Arabidopsis thaliana: one gene and its partners. The protein of the gene in region 2 interacts with the protein of the main gene of each other region in a pairwise test. Each region holds a gene or a part of one and is shown on either strand. Other genes may lie near its edges.

Region 1 (4,971 bases), on a different chromosome or scaffold from region 2:
GAATCTTTTGATATGTTATATTCCCTAAATATTTATCAGGAAATATCTTATTACAAAACCTGATATTTTCTGTCAATTTGTTTTTTTTTTTGTAAATTATTTTTTAAATAGCACACAAATATTAATGTGTTTAAAGTTAGAACTCAAACCAATTTATTGCGATTTTCTTAAAGAAGTTTAGATAATAAGACCTAAAGTGAAAACAGAAACTATTTTCTTCTTTTTAGGGTTTACATATATTAAATTATAAGTAACCTGTCATCTTTTTAGTGAATAATCAATTTTTTTTTCCATAAAAAAATCTTACAAAAAAAAAAAGTTGACATATTTGAATTTATCCAATTAAGGGGGTATAATTCAATCAAATTAAAATTTAAAATCCAAATTTAATAAAGTTTGAAATCCAAGCAATTCATTGTTATGTTTAAATATGGTGTTATAGGAATGGTTTATATGTTTGTATTATTCCAAATTTATTTTAAAAGTGTTATAAATTTAATAAAATCTTAACCTAAGCATAATCCATTGTTATTCATTCACATATGGTCTTACTGGATATGATTTATATAAATCATGCTTTGGTAATTTTAGCACAGTATAGTACAATGTCATTTTTTTTCCGTGAACAGTTCGTTATAACTGAAGAATTTTATGAATACTGTTAATATACATTTTGGATCTTTATCAGGGTCAAGACTAGCATCGACTAACACAAGAGAGCAAAGTAGATTGGCAATTACCTTTTTTTTGTCAAACAATTGGCAATTACCTTAAGATTAAAAAATCACATGCATTAAATTTTGAAAAAAAAAAAATGGAGACTTCTGATTCTTGTCCATGGACAAACACATTTGTATCCTCAAAATAAGACCATCCAAAAAGGATCCATGAGAAAACTTAAAACAATGAAACCAATGTACTCTTTCAGATAACCAACATGAAAAAATATTTCACCCAAATCTCTCATATCACCCGACACTTTAGACTCAAAAACTATTAGACCCATAACGACTCAGCATTCAGTAAAACCCGACCCCAAGCGATCCCCCAACCACTTGATATGACTCGACAAAACATGTATAGATAGATAGTGCCAAGACAATGGTAGACTCATGATGCATCAAAACATTTCGAGGCTTAATTACCTCGCCAGGATTTGGCAACTTAAATGATGACGCTTCTTATGTTGAGGGACCACTTTCTTCTGTTTTCTTTGCTTCACCAGATTTCTCTGCCTCGCTCTCTTTCTTTTCTTCTGCTTTCACTTCAGTCTTTGCCGTCTCCACAGCTTTCGCTTCGGTTTTCTCCTCCGTTTTTGTCTCTTCCACAGTCAATTTCTCAAGAAGGCCAGCAGTGTCAGCGGCATCTTTGCTCTCTTCTTTCTCTTCTTCAGACTCAGCAACTTCCTTGAACTTTTGCATAAATGTTTTGCAATCTGACAAGGAAAATAAGATTTGATTACCCACAAGCATCTCTACTTTTCCCGGTTAATATGATCAACAGCTCAGAAACTACTGATAATATTTACCCAAAATAAAAAAAGAAACAGTCGACCATGTTGGCATATCAAATTAGTTGCAGCCTAAATACATACTTGACCACCTCAAGAACAATATTATCTCTTTACAATGCAATACCACAACCTAACCGCCACAGTACTTATTTTGATATTTCCTGAACCCAATAACGCATGCCTATGATGGAAGCTTTGAGAACCTCCAATTAACAAAGTAGCCATATAGCAATGCTAAGGTCAAGATCCATCAGTAATCTAATCCGTGAATCTATCAAACCAACTGAGACTAAATAAGGCAAAACACAAGCCATTACAAAATTCGGTTTCATACTCACTCTCAATAGAAGCAAATCGGATACAGAAAAGCTCATCCTTGAGTTCACCATCAGCAAAGTCACGAGCGTGCCACACACATGACTTTTCATTCCCAACGTGTTCCTGAACACTCATGCCCGATTTAACTGCAGAAATATCAGAAGCATAAGACTAGATAAGGAAACAGTAACCTAAATACAGATCCAGATGCAACTCAAAAACAACACAAAGTAGTCCAAATAGAAATTATACCGAAGTGATTAGCACAGATCTTCAAAGTTTTAGATTGCCTCATAACGAGACGAATCTTCCCAGTGTTCTTATGCTTTAAGAACTTCACAGTACCAGCTCCTCTCTCCTTCCACTGATTCGCATCCTTATCGAATCGATAAAGCTTCGATTTCCTTTAGATTCACAAACAAAAATTCAGTCAAACACACCAAAAGCTAAACCTTATAAATTCGATCAGATCCAGTTGACCTAGATCAGAAAAACTATAAACACCAATTAAGAAAAACACTTACAGATCAAGGACGGCATCTTCGTCTTCCTCGCCGGTAGTGACGGCAACCTCCTCAAGCCTAACGATCGGAGCGACCTGAGCTCCGGTGTCCTCATCCTCGTTAGCTCCGGCCTCTTCCTCGTCTCTGTGCTCGTGCTCGGGTTCGTTGGTCGCCATAGTATTTACTGAGATTTCCTCGTGGATTCAATTGGTCGCTACGGTGCGGCGTACGCGAGAGAGATAGAGAGAAGAGAATTTGGGGGTTTCGCAACACAGGAAATCGGAACGACTCATAGTTATACGGCGTTGAATTGAAGCTAACTATGGGCCGATTTCTTATGACAAAAAATATATATGGCCCATATAAACCCATTGTATCTGGGTTATTTTTAAAGCTATTTATCTCAAGGGAAATTAATCCTTTTTTAGAGAAATCTTAATGATTTATAGCATAGAGATTAGAGAAAAATCTTAAAGATCGAAAAAAGAATATGATGATATGCTTGAGCTAAACTCTATGTAACGACTTCGTTCAGTTTGATACATAATCGTACATGCATAACCTTGGTCCTTCAGGCCTAGTCGAAACAAACAACCATCTTCAACCGGTCCGGTTCCCTCTATGATTCATTTAAATGCTCCAAAATCCGAATACTTATTAGGATGAATCAAAAGTCTTCTAAAGCATAAAACCAAAGTCTCTTTTGGCCTCTTGAGTCTTCCACCAGCTTACGAACCAAAACCATTTGTCGCAATATTTTTTCACATTAAAATACAACTATTTGGCTGTAAACGAGAGTTATCAATATAAGGCAATGGCTCGTAATTAAGACACTCGATCTCATCTCACCGCGTAAAAGATAGTTTTGTCCGATCCGAATCACATGTGCAAACAAACAAAACTTGAGGCTGTGATTAAAAGACAACGTTTCGAGTTTATTGCTTTGATTATACTGATACAACAAATACATAGTGAGAACAATTTCCCTAAAGATACATGTAGTATAAACCATAATTTCCATTAATAAATGTAAAACCACCACAAATTCATATGGCAGCGCCGCCGCCGATCCCCCGTTTCCAGGCGGTAAATTCTGAGACATAGAAACGTCAATTATCGCCGAGTCACCAGCCACGTCATCGTTTGGATCCGATGATGTGTTATATTCCGATTCTACCCTTGTGGATCCCGAATATTCCATTGTTGTCCCTTCCTCTTCCGAAGCGTGGCATCTAACTTCCACCCAACCATCTGACTCCCAAATTACTCCTCCGGTCGTCGCCAAATTACAAATTATTGCCTTCGCCGCGTCTTCGAATTCTGATCTCCCTACTTCCTCTTCTTCTTCTTCTAAGTCAAACCCCGAGTTGACCCAGTCAAGTACGCAACGCGGAGATGACTCAGTCGGAGATGAGTTGTGACACTGAGAGAGAAATGGATGCTGCAAAAGCTGATCGCAACTCCACCTCTGATTCGGGTCTCGCTTCAGACACTTTTCTAGGAAATCACGGCCGATTTCCGACAACTTCGAGGGGAAAACCGGTAACTCGTCAGAGAAACTGATTCGACTCAGCGAGTCAATTCCGTGGTCTTCCCAAGCGGGTTTCCCAGTGAACATCTCGATGATCGTGCAGCCGAGAGACCAGACGTCACTCTCCGGACCTTGGTACTCTCGTCTGATCACCTCCGGAGCCATCCAAAGCGGACTTCCACGTGGCGTGATCAGAGCCCTCGGTGTGTGGATTCTGAACGCCGACCCAAAATCGGCTAACTTGACCATGGAGCTTTGGCTGACGAGGATGTTCCTCGCCTTGACGTCGCAGTGAACGAATCCTTGAGAGTGTACGTGGCGGAGAGCAGAGACAAGACACGCCGTGTAACGCTGGAGCAGAGTCTCGTCTTCGATTTTTCCTCCGGCTCTGTGACTAGCCACGTCACCGTTTGGGAGATACTCTAAGTAGAGATTCCTAAACGTCGTCGTTCCTTCTTTCGAGACTCCGTCGCCGAGAAACTTCACGATGTAAGGGTGAGGCTTTAGCGAGCGGAAGACAGATATTTCGTTCTCGAGAGACTCTGATTGAGTGGGGAGACTCGTGGCGAGATCCACGGATTTCACGGCGAAAACTTCACCGTTGGTTTTGCTGATCGCCGTACTAACTGCACCGAAACAACCTCTGCCGATACACGCACCACGAACCCAAAAAGAAGATGGTGAGGATAACATTAAAGAAGAAGAACAAGTGTTTCTGATGCTCTGTTTCTCCATGTGTGCCAACTTTCATATGTCGTACTTGTGCAACACGAAGCTATTTATATGCGTGTTTTGGAACTGCAAAACAGAAAATGTGAACGTGAAATAAAGTTGCAATTTTTTTTGTTTCTGACATGGACTATTCTTGTACACTTGTCTTTTCGATTTGTAAAGTCTCATCTTTGTAAAATTTCCCACGTGGATATGTCATGTACAACACAAACTTTCGAGTCTATCATTAGATTTTTGAACAAATTATACCATGTTCGATGGTCGGTTTGGATTTTAACAATTTTAATTATATATACATCTATTGAAATCTAGACTTAATCCTTACAAATTTTTTACTTTTATGGAATGATTAGTCGTTTTGAAAAGAGAACAAA
Region 2 (6,248 bases):
AATGCAAACTTTAATAGATATTGAGATCTTAACAGATTACTTCAACAACATACGATTCCTATTCCCACCGTCCAGGTAACAAATCGGTTGCCAATTTTACGCACAAACCAACCAGAGCTAATCCAAACTATACACACTCTAGATTGAGTATACACACAAACATATCAATGGAGATATGTATACTTACTAGTATCCATCCCTAAGGCCACCAAATTTCTCTTGTCCAGCAGTATCCCAGCAGTAAAAACGGATCTTTCCGCAGTTTGTGAAGAAATCCAAAGGATGAACCTCCACACCAATAGTAGCTGCAACAAACAAGATTAGGACTCAACATCAGATGATGTTCACAGAAATTGTGCATTCACAAGCATCTTTGCTATACTTACGTTCATACTTCTTCTCAAACTCCCCAGTAAGATGTCTCTTCACAAAGGTCGTTTTCCCTGTACAAAACACCAAGAGCAATCATAGGTTTAGCAAGAACTAATCAAAAACATTGAACCATACTAAAACTGAGCCAATGAAAACAACATTCCGGATCATCTAAGAATCGATATCCCAAAGATCTGCTCAACGAAGGCCTAGTCTGTAAGGTTCTCTTTAAAACCAATCAAACATTGATATTATCAAAAACCAATCGTACAAATCTAATCAGCACATCATCAAAATCTCAAATCCGTCTCTTAAACGAGAATGCTTTCAGATGGGGACAGTGAAAAGACGATCAAATTTCAGAGATCACAAAAAACAATAGGTCAAAAAACACGGCGAAGAATACTGTACCTGTGCCTCCATCACCAACGATGACGAGCTTGAAGCTAGGATAATCTACGGTTTGTTGGTTAGGTAGAGCCTGAACAAGATATCACAACAAAATTCAGTAAAATCCGAAAAAAGAAACATCAACGAAATTAAGCGATCTCGTGAGATCTAAATACTACAAGACGAAGAAATCGGGAAAAGAGAAGAGAATGTTCACCATGTGAGAGGAGAAGCGAAGTCAGACGTTGATGTCGTCGAGGTTTAAGAAGCGATGCGGCGAGAGGGACTAGGGAGAGAGATGGGGTTTTAATAAGGAGAATTTTGGGAGGTTTTGGCTTAGGTTTGACGCTATTTTTTCCACCGTTAGATTCCATCTTTTGGCTCTCCAATATCTACGCAGCTTTCTGCACCGTTGGATCTTTTTTTTTTCAGCTTTAGGTCCTGGTTTTGAGTTTTGACAAAATAAATAATATATTTATTTCCTGTATCGTATGTGAAGTTTTGATTTTATTTGTAGCATAGTTTTTTACTAACAAATCATTTAAATAAGGATTTATTGTCCGTAACGGATAGTTTCAAAATTTCAAGTACTCACTCACATGACATCCATCTAATGATGCCTTTCAAATTTAATGGTAACATATTAATACCAACAATATTTCCAGAAATTAATATACACATCGATAAATTCTTAAGCTCAAACTTGCAGAAATTGGTCTTAGAGCTCACGGTTGAAGAAAATGTCTGGAATCACGGATTGAAATCGGTCGTTGATTTGAGGGAAAGGGTTACTTCATTCTTCAATGCAAGAATGGTTGCCAAACAAAAAGTTATCCGATTATTATTCTACAAGTTCTGGTGCGGATTGATTAAGAAGATCAAGTTTCAAAGAAGAAAAGGAAGAGGATTGCAGAAGAATCTGCAAAGCTAGAGAGATCGGGGAAGGCAAAGAACTTAACCATTGTCAATGCAGGTCAGGTCTCCCAACAAGATCTACTTGCAGCTAATTTTACCCAGGTTTATATGACATCACCTGGTAGCTAAAGAGTGGCATCTGAAATCTAAGAACTGGCAAGTAATAGGAGGTAGAATAAAGTTTTCCAATCAACTAATATTCTTGCGAAGAAACAACTTAGCTTTGGATACCATCAGAAGAACCATCCAAAAATACATACCTAATTTTTGTTATAAGAAAGACCGATTGATTTATATGTAACACCAAAACAACATAGAGAAAACCAAAAGGAACAAGCAAGAGCTTCCCACGGCAGACATTCTAGAAGGATGATTTACTCAAAGATATCATCATCGTCATCGGGGAGGGGTTGAGCTGCAGCCTGTAAGAGCTCGGCCTCGTTCTTCTGCTGATCAGCAATGTCAATGTGAACCTCTGGTGGAGCAAGCGCTGGTGTCTCCACAAAGTGAAGGTTTTGGTCTCCAGCCAGTTTTCTAGCAAGGTACAAGAAAGGCTTCTCAAAGTTGTAGTTGCTCTTTGCTGATATCTCATAGTACTGCAGATTCTTCTTCCTGTGGAATGTAACCTGCTTTGCCTTCACTTGCCTGTTCTTCACATCAACTTTGTTCCCACACAGAACAATCGGGATGTTTTCACACACCCTGCAGAGATCACGGTGCCATGTCGGAACATTCTTGTATGTGAGCCGTGCTGTGACGTCAAACATTATTATAGCACATTGACCATGGATGCTGCAAGAAATTCAAAGATGATTAGCTATACATCCAGATGGAATATCAAAATTAAAATTCAAGTTCTACTCTATTTGTCCAGGTAACAAAATCAGTTGCAAACTATGCATACTTCAAAACATACCAGTCTTATACCCATTGTCCAGGTTAATCGGTTGCCAATTTCAAATCCTAACCAGAGCTAATCCAAACTAAGCACACTCTAGATTGACTCTAGACACTAACCTATCAATGAGAAAGTAAAGGGTCCACACTTACTAGTATCCATCCCTAAGGCCACCAAATTTCTCTTGTCCAGCAGTGTCCCAGCAGTAAAAACGGATCTTGCCACAGTTTGTGAAGAAATCTAATGGATGAACCTCCACACCAATAGTAGCTGCAACAAACAAGATTACGACTCAAAATCAGAATCATTTAAGAGACATGAAGAACAGAAATCTGAACATTCACAAGCAATACTTACGTTCATACTTCTTCTCAAACTCCCCAGTAAGATGTCTCTTAACAAAAGTAGTCTTCCCTGCACAACCACCAAAAGCAATCAAAGGTTTAGCAAAACAATCAAAACACATTACCATACTTGAAATCAATTGAGCCACTGGATACAACAGTACGGATTATAAAGAGTCGACTAGCAAAATCTGCTTAGCATATGAGCCTATCTCTATCACCCCAATCACCATCAACGTAAATCCAAGCATTGATTAATCGATAAAAAAAAACACGGCGAAGAGTACCGTACCTGTGCCTCCATCACCAACAATGACAAGCTTGAAGCTGGGATAATCTACGGTTTGCTGGTTAGGTAGAGCCTGAAAAATATATCCACGACGAAATTAGAAACTAGAACATGGAAACATCGACGCAATCTCGTGAGATCTGAGACGGAGATAATCCTAGATCAAGGTATACAATCTGATAATACACGAAGAAGAAATCGGTAAAATCGAAGAGAACATGTACCATGTTTTCGCAATCGCGAGCTAGAGGAGAGCGAATTCAGGCGATGGTGTTAAGAAGGAAGCGGCGAGAGGGAGAATGAAGATGGAGAGGGAGAGAGAGATTGGGGTTTTTAAAAGAGAAATTTGGGAGGGTTTGGCTTTGAGTTGACGCTACACTATTGGCCGTTGGATTCTTTCTCTTTGGTTCTTCTGCAATTTTAACGCAGCTTTCTCCACCGTTGGATCTTTTTCTAGCTTTAGGTCCACGCGTACTCATTCATCGGCATTGATTTTTCTTTCCTTTTTTCACATTTAGCAAATTTTGAAATTAAATTCATTACAATATATACGCGTTGGTTTTGACAAAATAAATTATTTATTTTCTTTATCATATTTATACCTCAATTTTTAATAATAGACACCATTCATCAATAAGGATTTTTATTGTTCATAACGGATAGTTTTCAAATTATTCTTGACACATGCCAGATGGGTTGAATTTCTAAATTAATGTACACTCCAAATTCAAATCACTCACTATTGACCTCAGCGGTGGATCTCAGGTACAAAGCTATGTCGATTATTTTGTCTCAAACAATCTTTTAGTTGGTTTTCTCTTTAAGCTAATGAGACTGAGTTGGAGAAGAATATACTCTTAAGATGTAAAATGTAAGCTTGGTTGAATCGAAGATGTTATGCTGAACAACCATTTGAATGAATAGAAACTAGTGTACAAACATTGTTTAGAAAAGCTTAAAGCGCTAGCCGAAAAGGTTTCAGAAAGAACCACAGACAGTAGAGAAGAAATAATCGAAATTAATCTGTGACTCTGAAATTCCTACTTCCAGAGCTTACGCAGAGACATGTTCTTCTCTGTGTCTTTCTTCATTACCTTCGCCACAGCCATCTCAAAGTCTTCCTGAGTCACATGTACTCTCCTCTCACGAAGTGCAAACATGCCCGCCTCCGTGCATACAGCCTGACCGTAATAACCAAAAACATTAGAGAGAGACAGATTGGAGAGAACAAGACAGAAGCAGGGACAGAGAAACACTTACCTTCAGCTCAGCACCTGAAGCACCATTCATCTTCTCTGCAATCTTTTTCAGATCGATTCCACGCATCAAATTCATTTTCCTTGAGTGTATCTTCAAGATATCAAAACGTGACTGCAACACATATTAGAAATATACATTAGCCAAACCGTCCTGCCTCACTTTGGGTACAATAAGTATGGAGAAAAGTATTTTACGCAGTAAATGATAGTTTACCAAAAACAACGGAGTGAGCAAAGTTGCTACTTCAAGTTTAAAGTTATTTCTAATATCATGTCCTAAGAAACACAAGCATTACCTCTTCATTAGGATTAGGAAATTCAATTTTCCTATCAATCCTTCCAGGCCGGAGAAGAGCTTGATCCAGAATATCAATACGATTTGTAGCCATCAAAACCTGCAACAGTCATTTAAGAGAATTAACAACTTTGTCTGCGAAATTCAGAGTAACACAGAGTTATCCTTTTCAGCTTCATGACTATTTTTTCATTCACAACATAAGGCATACCTTGATTTTGTTTGACGCCTCGAATCCGTCAAGTTGATTGAGAAGCTCAAGCATAGTCCTTTGCACCTCACTGTCACCATTTCCACTACCAGATTCCATACGAGCAGACCCGATACTATCGATTTCATCCATGAAGATGATTGATGGTGCATGCTCCCTGAAAACCATAAGCCAGAGGTACTAGAAAGGTAAGCTAGCTGGAATAAGTATTTTTCAGCACAATGAAGATGATTAATGGTGTATACTTTGCTCATTACAAAAGACTATTACTGTGGCCTAAATGCTAGGCATCGAGACTACTTGTAAAGATCATTATGCTTGAGATCGTATACATGTTGAAACCATATTCATAGCAGGAACAGAGAACAATTTACTCAATTTATTTTACTCCACATGTCCACTACAGCTACTAAGCACGGGCATGTAAAAGATTTATCGTGTCAAAAGTTCCATCTTTTCCAACCTACCACTTTTACCATGCTTGAAATATTAAATAAGGACTAGCATGTACAAACCTTGCCATCACAAAAAGTTCTCTGACCATTCTAGAACCTTCTCCAATGTATTTCTGGACCAGCTCAGAACCAGAAACTCTGATGAAAGTACAGTCAGTGTGATGTGCCACAGCCCGAGCCAATAGTGTCTTCCCAGTTCCAGGTGGACCGTACAACAACACACCCTTAAAAGAGAGGGAGAAGCAATCAGTTCGAAATCCACTTAGCAGCGTCACAATATAGATAAGCTTTGAAATTCAAGTGTACCTTTGGCTGCGCAATTCCAAGAGACTCAAACAATTCAGGATGCTTGATTGGCAGTTCAATGACCTGATAAACCAGTAAAGATATTATATAAAATTTAAAAGCATGAAACCAGTGACTTTTAGTATCGTTTGTTTCTTTCACTATGCATACCTCCTTTATTTCCTTGATTTGCTGGTCAAGACCACCAATCATGTCATATGTGGAGTCTGGAACCTTCTCAACTTTCATAAGGTTAACCAAGGGATCTACTTTACTTGGCAGAACCAGGTGGAGAACATAGCTATCATTACGGAGAGCAACTCTCGTTGATGGAGTGAGTTTCGTTATGTCTATACTTTTGTCAATATCGACAACATACTTCCCCTCTGGATGAACCTGAAACATGGGAAAGTATTATTCTATCAATGTTCATATGATTGCAAACAATTCAAAAACCAATCTAGATAATACGATAAAAACATTCATACCTTAACCAAGACCTTGTTTTTTCCCATCACTTTTACCACTTCACCCA
Region 3 (4,639 bases), on a different chromosome or scaffold from region 2:
AACGCCAAACACAGATCCGATAATCTGAGCGAGAAACAGAGAGACAAGCGGAACCAATAGCAGAACCAGTGGCTCAAACTCCGACAAACGCGAGTTCAACGAGCCACGAGCTTGAATCAACATGGATTTCATCGAAGAATATGAAAAAGAATCCATTTTTTGTTTCTTTTGGTCTGGAGATTGAGATGGTGAGAAAAGTGAATCGTTTGGGACAGAGGAGAAAAGAATATAGAAAAGGAAAAGATGATCAAAAACGAGGTCATCGCGTGAATAGTATCAGATTACGACAAACCTTTTTTTCCTTAATTTTTGGCGCTTTGTGTTTCGTTGCGTGTGTTGTCAATTTTTAAAGTGGGTTACTTTCAGATTCTGATAGTCTGATAGTAGTGGGTGGGTGAAGAAAACTACACGAAATCTAATTGGAACCAAAACTTATATCAAAATCAAAGCAGATCAACGTAGTGTTAAGTATTAACTAAAAGCTTAAGATTGTAATAACGTTCTGAAAATTATGAACTGCCATAGAAATTGAATCAACGGTCGAATCAGTGAAGCTGAGACTTTTCTTCTGAAAAAGAAGCAAAATTCTACATCAAAATTGATCTTTCTTATTTGGTTTGTGGGAATCTGCAACTTTTGTGCTTGACACTTGCAATGCTTATCAAGTAAATAAATTATTGAAAACTTGAAGCAATCTCCAACTGCAACCCCACAAACAAATCGACAAAACTCAGAATATGACCCAGATACACTTCATTTTTCAATTCACTATTAGTCGGTCAAATGTTGCAACTGAACTAAATTAGAACTTATGGCTTTATTTATACATAGAGAGGTGTTCATTGAAACTACTTGCAAGTCTTGCAATAGATAAGAGTTAACCTTTAGACACATTAACAGGCCAAGCTTGGACCATCCAAATATATTCGGATTAAAAGCATATTCCCAGAAAGAACAAGAGCCAAATGACCATTCAAATTGTCTTATAAAGTCAATAGATTGTAATGACAAATGAACAAACAATCCAAACCAAATACATGATGAGAGACAATATTCCTCTGTTCCCAAGGTAAATCATCTGGGAATAACAAGAAAAAGACGAGAAAAATTGATAGAAGGATTTGCTCAAATAGTATAGAAATGCAACAATGATGTATGCTAACAACAATCTGATTTCTGTTCAGGCATAGTTCAACCTGAATATATCGTTGAACACGTAAAAGCTTCCTTGTGGCGTCGGCATCAAATGAAACATCTGTAGCACACAATGAAACCAAACGTTTTGTAGTTGTGTTAGAACAAGATCAAAGATACCAAAAAAAACAAAAAAAAGATCAGAGATAACAAAGCAAACAATACATAACATCGACATAACCAGCTTATTCAATCTCATTCATGGACAAGAAATCCATCAATTGTGGCGAGGGAAAACAATTCTCTTCAATCTAATCAACAAAACTCAGAGCCAAACTTGTTCTTCGAGACTAAACAGAGACTAATGCAAAGTTTTTCATCAATGAGCTATACACGAGTCACAACATCATCGATCATTGTAGCTCAAAACGAATCAGATAACAAGTCGCAACGAATTTGCAATTCTACATCCTTTAAAGAGTCAGATTTACAGATCCATCAGCTAATCTAAAACCCTAGCGATCTAATAACTAAACTCACAAGCAAATCAAACAAATCCAAACAAAGATAGATCAATCGGAAATCGAAGAGAAAGAGAGAGAGATACCTGGCTGAACTTGAGAGCGTGTTCTTCTCCGGCGAGCTGGAGATTACCGGAGACGAAAACGAGCATACCGGAAGCAGGACCAGAAGGCTGACAATCAACGGTGGAGATGTGATGCTTGCACTGCTGGAAAGGAAGAGAGGTGAGCTTAGCGACGATGCTCTGGACTCCTTGGATCTTTTGACCTTCGAAGGTGAGCATAGAAGCTTCCTGATAGAGACCAGCGAGACCGACACGGTTGGTGTCGAAGGTGGAATAGTAATGTTCGACGAAGGCCTTAGATACAGCGTCGGGATCCATCTGAGACATTTTTAGAGAGAGCGATGCCGATGATGAGAGATTGAGCAGCAGAGGATTGAGAGGATTTGGGAGACGCTAAAGGGTTTTGGTTTTTCTATTTATTCTCTGACCTGTTGTTTAACTTCGCGTCTCTACGACGCTGCTTTTCTTCTTTTCTTCTCAATTTGTTTTTTTTTTCTCTTTTTCTTTCTTTAATTTCTATTTAACATTTTTTTTGAACAAATAATTTTATATATCTTTTTTAAGGTTTGTTTCTCCAACAAAATAATTTTTATATTTTAATATAGTGCGATTTAGAGAATTTAAAAGATAATATTTTAAATAATCAATTAGATTATAAGATGTGTCAAAAATAATAAATTTGTTTATAAAGAGTGTAGGTTGCAGCGGTAGATACAGATAAATCCGTCAGCGGTTTAGTTCATTTTATTTTTAGGACATACAATGTAAACCAACTTTATTTAATGTAAAATCGGTTTATGATCGGTCTGCGAGAAATTTCATTTATTTTTCTTAGTTCATATTATAATAAATTTTAATTTATAAATTGTAAATAAAAAATAATAATATCTGCAAACAGATTTAACCGCGGCAACCATTTACACCTTCAGTAATATAATGGAAGCTTTACTTAGTTTTCGAATCAATCTCCATTATGTGTATATATTTTTCTATTTCGTTATTATCATTGTAGTTTGGGATCCCAACATGTATTATGGATTTGGTAAGCTAAACAATATCTTTGTAAACTTATGAATCAGAATAAAAAAATAAACAAAATGGATAGAAAAGCATTGGGTTAAACAGCCAGAAATCAACAAGATTGTTCCAACAAATTTCTTTGTTCTTTAACTAGAATATAAATCAGGTAAGCCTTTCTTATTCTTAGAAATTTCGGATACTACTAATAAAAGGCAGATTACATTCTCTAAATAGTTGAATAATCTCTCTAATTAGTGAAAATTATTTCGTAAAAACCACATTGGTTTCTTTCTAACGATCAGTTAAAAATGGTTGGCTAATATTTATACAAAATTATCTCACCTGCATTCATATCCACTTAATTAATTAATCATATTAAAGAAAATAAAACTCAATTAATTAAAAGAATAATTACGAATTTCCATGCGTCACCCAAAAACACTCCCAAAATCCTCAAAATTCGACAATTCCTCTCTCAAGTCTCTCTCAACACCTTCCTTTCAGTATCAAAGAGATTCTCGCTTTTGTCTAACTTTATCGTCTCTCTTCCTTTTTGCCTCCGATTGGCTGATTTTTTCTATGGCCGCTTCTTACCGAAGCACCGACTGGTTTCCTCCTACTACTACTACTGGTAAGCCTCGCTTGCTTCTCTTTAAAAATGATAAATGTTGAACCTTTTTCGTTTTATTTTCGTGGGTTTTATTGTTTCGTCACTCTAACGAAGAGATTACGTTGTCTGTTGATGAATTTTGCCCACTCTTGTTGTAATTTCTCGTAAAGCCTTAACCTTTTTGGGATTCTCTCACTTACTAGGCTTTGTTAGATTCTTCCACTTCACCTTGATCCTATGATTATTCTCTCATGTTTAGCTTTTTACTTATGGTGGTTGTGTCTGTCTGCTTTTTATGGATTTTTTAGGTTCATTTACGGGCCTAAATACTGACCAGAGTGTTCTCCAAGATCAGGTGAGTGATTAGTGGAATTGCTTGTGTCATATAATGTAAGCTAGCACCAATATGACACATTGTGTTATGATTTTACAGGACATAGTTAGCAGTCGCCCTTTTTGTGGACAGGGCACAGAATCATTTCACATTGGAGGTTAGATCTATATGATCCTTTCCTAATCAGTTCTATTGTATTTTAGCTGTAGTTTAGTGGTTACAACTAATCTTCTGCTGGTTTGTGACCTTTGTTTTGTTTTCTCTCTGGTATTTTGGCATTTTCATTTGCAACTTGATTTTGGTTTTTGGAGAAGAAAAAGCTACTGTTGTTTTATGTTCTTAAACCAAGAGAACTGATTATTCTTTCTTATAATGAAGTCCACCTACTTATGTGGACTATTCCAAATTGTTATCTTTGTTTTGGATTATTCTCATATGTGCACTAGAGGAAACATTGCCGCATACCCATGAAAATCTTTACCACTTTTTTTATTTCTGCTTCGCCATGTTTGTCTTGTGACCAAAATTGTGGATTTTATTGCTTCTTAGCTGTTATTGTAGTACTGTTTTGAAATTTCCTTGTTGCTCTTTAATGTCGTCGTTCTCTCAATGAATATGCAGCTGATACTCCAAGGTCGAACCACTCACACTCGGATGTTCCTAGCTTTGACAAAGTCTCTCCTGTGCGTAAATCATCTAATCTACGCCTTCCACACTACTTGATTTTGATTTCTGATATTCATGATGTGTTCATTTATTTCCTATCTCTTATTAAATTGATATAGGGCATGATAAATGAAATGTTTTACCATAGTAATGGTGTACCATCAGATTTTCAGAGGTCATCTCTTTCTACCAGAAATCAATCATCACTGCAGCATTATGGCGACCTCTATGCTGATGATTCAAGATATTTCGTTCCTTTTCACTTATCAAATCAGCAGTATCCAACCCC

Evidence for each region. The genes of interacting proteins can lie anywhere in the genome.
Region 1: the proteins of RAN-1 (region 2) and SIRANBP interact in a two-hybrid assay, tested with the Arabidopsis thaliana proteins (one study listed by BioGRID).
Region 3: the proteins of RAN-1 (region 2) and NTF2B interact in a two-hybrid assay, tested with the Arabidopsis thaliana proteins (one study listed by BioGRID).

Annotation. Positions count from the first base shown.
Region 1 is NC_003070.9:2,191,179-2,196,149, forward strand, and holds SIRANBP (Pleckstrin homology (PH) domain superfamily protein), read right to left. Parts: upstream 2,659-4,971; 5' UTR 2,511-2,658; coding exon 2,356-2,510; intron 2,236-2,355; coding exon 2,084-2,235; intron 1,978-2,083; coding exon 1,852-1,977; intron 1,436-1,851; coding exon 1,182-1,435; 3' UTR 501-1,181; downstream 1-500. Other genes in the region: MAPKKK13 (mitogen-activated protein kinase kinase kinase 13), read right to left, coding at 3,101-4,600.
Region 2 is NC_003076.8:6,757,551-6,763,798, reverse strand, and holds RAN-1 (RAS-related nuclear protein-1), read right to left. Parts: upstream 3,706-6,248; 5' UTR 3,436-3,705; coding exon 3,433-3,435; intron 3,282-3,432; coding exon 3,212-3,281; intron 2,990-3,211; coding exon 2,933-2,989; intron 2,846-2,932; coding exon 2,728-2,845; intron 2,470-2,727; coding exon 2,052-2,469; 3' UTR 1,469-2,051; downstream 1-1,468. Other genes in the region: RAN2 (RAS-related GTP-binding nuclear protein 2), read right to left, coding at 188-305, 387-443, 784-853, 980-982; AT5G20000 (AAA-type ATPase family protein), read right to left, coding at 4,249-4,389, 4,469-4,579, 4,764-4,862, 4,974-5,130, 5,489-5,652, 5,735-5,797, 5,885-6,109, 6,202-6,248. UniProt on the Arabidopsis thaliana protein: GTP-binding protein involved in nucleocytoplasmic transport. Required for the import of protein into the nucleus and also for RNA export. Involved in chromatin condensation and control of cell cycle.
Region 3 is NC_003070.9:9,744,329-9,748,967, reverse strand, and holds NTF2B (nuclear transport factor 2B), read right to left. Parts: upstream 2,158-4,639; 5' UTR 2,048-2,157; coding exon 1,742-2,047; intron 1,256-1,741; coding exon 1,197-1,255; coding exon of another isoform or gene 1,181-1,196; exon of another isoform or gene 814-1,180; intron 702-813; coding exon 662-701; 3' UTR 501-661; downstream 1-500. Other genes in the region: DPL1 (dihydrosphingosine phosphate lyase), read right to left, coding at 1-156; ECT9 (evolutionarily conserved C-terminal region 9), read left to right, coding at 3,320-3,371, 3,659-3,705, 3,784-3,841, 4,306-4,367, 4,470-4,639. UniProt on the Arabidopsis thaliana protein: Facilitates protein transport into the nucleus. Interacts with various nucleoporins and with Ran-GDP. Could be part of a multicomponent system of cytosolic factors that assemble at the pore complex during nuclear import.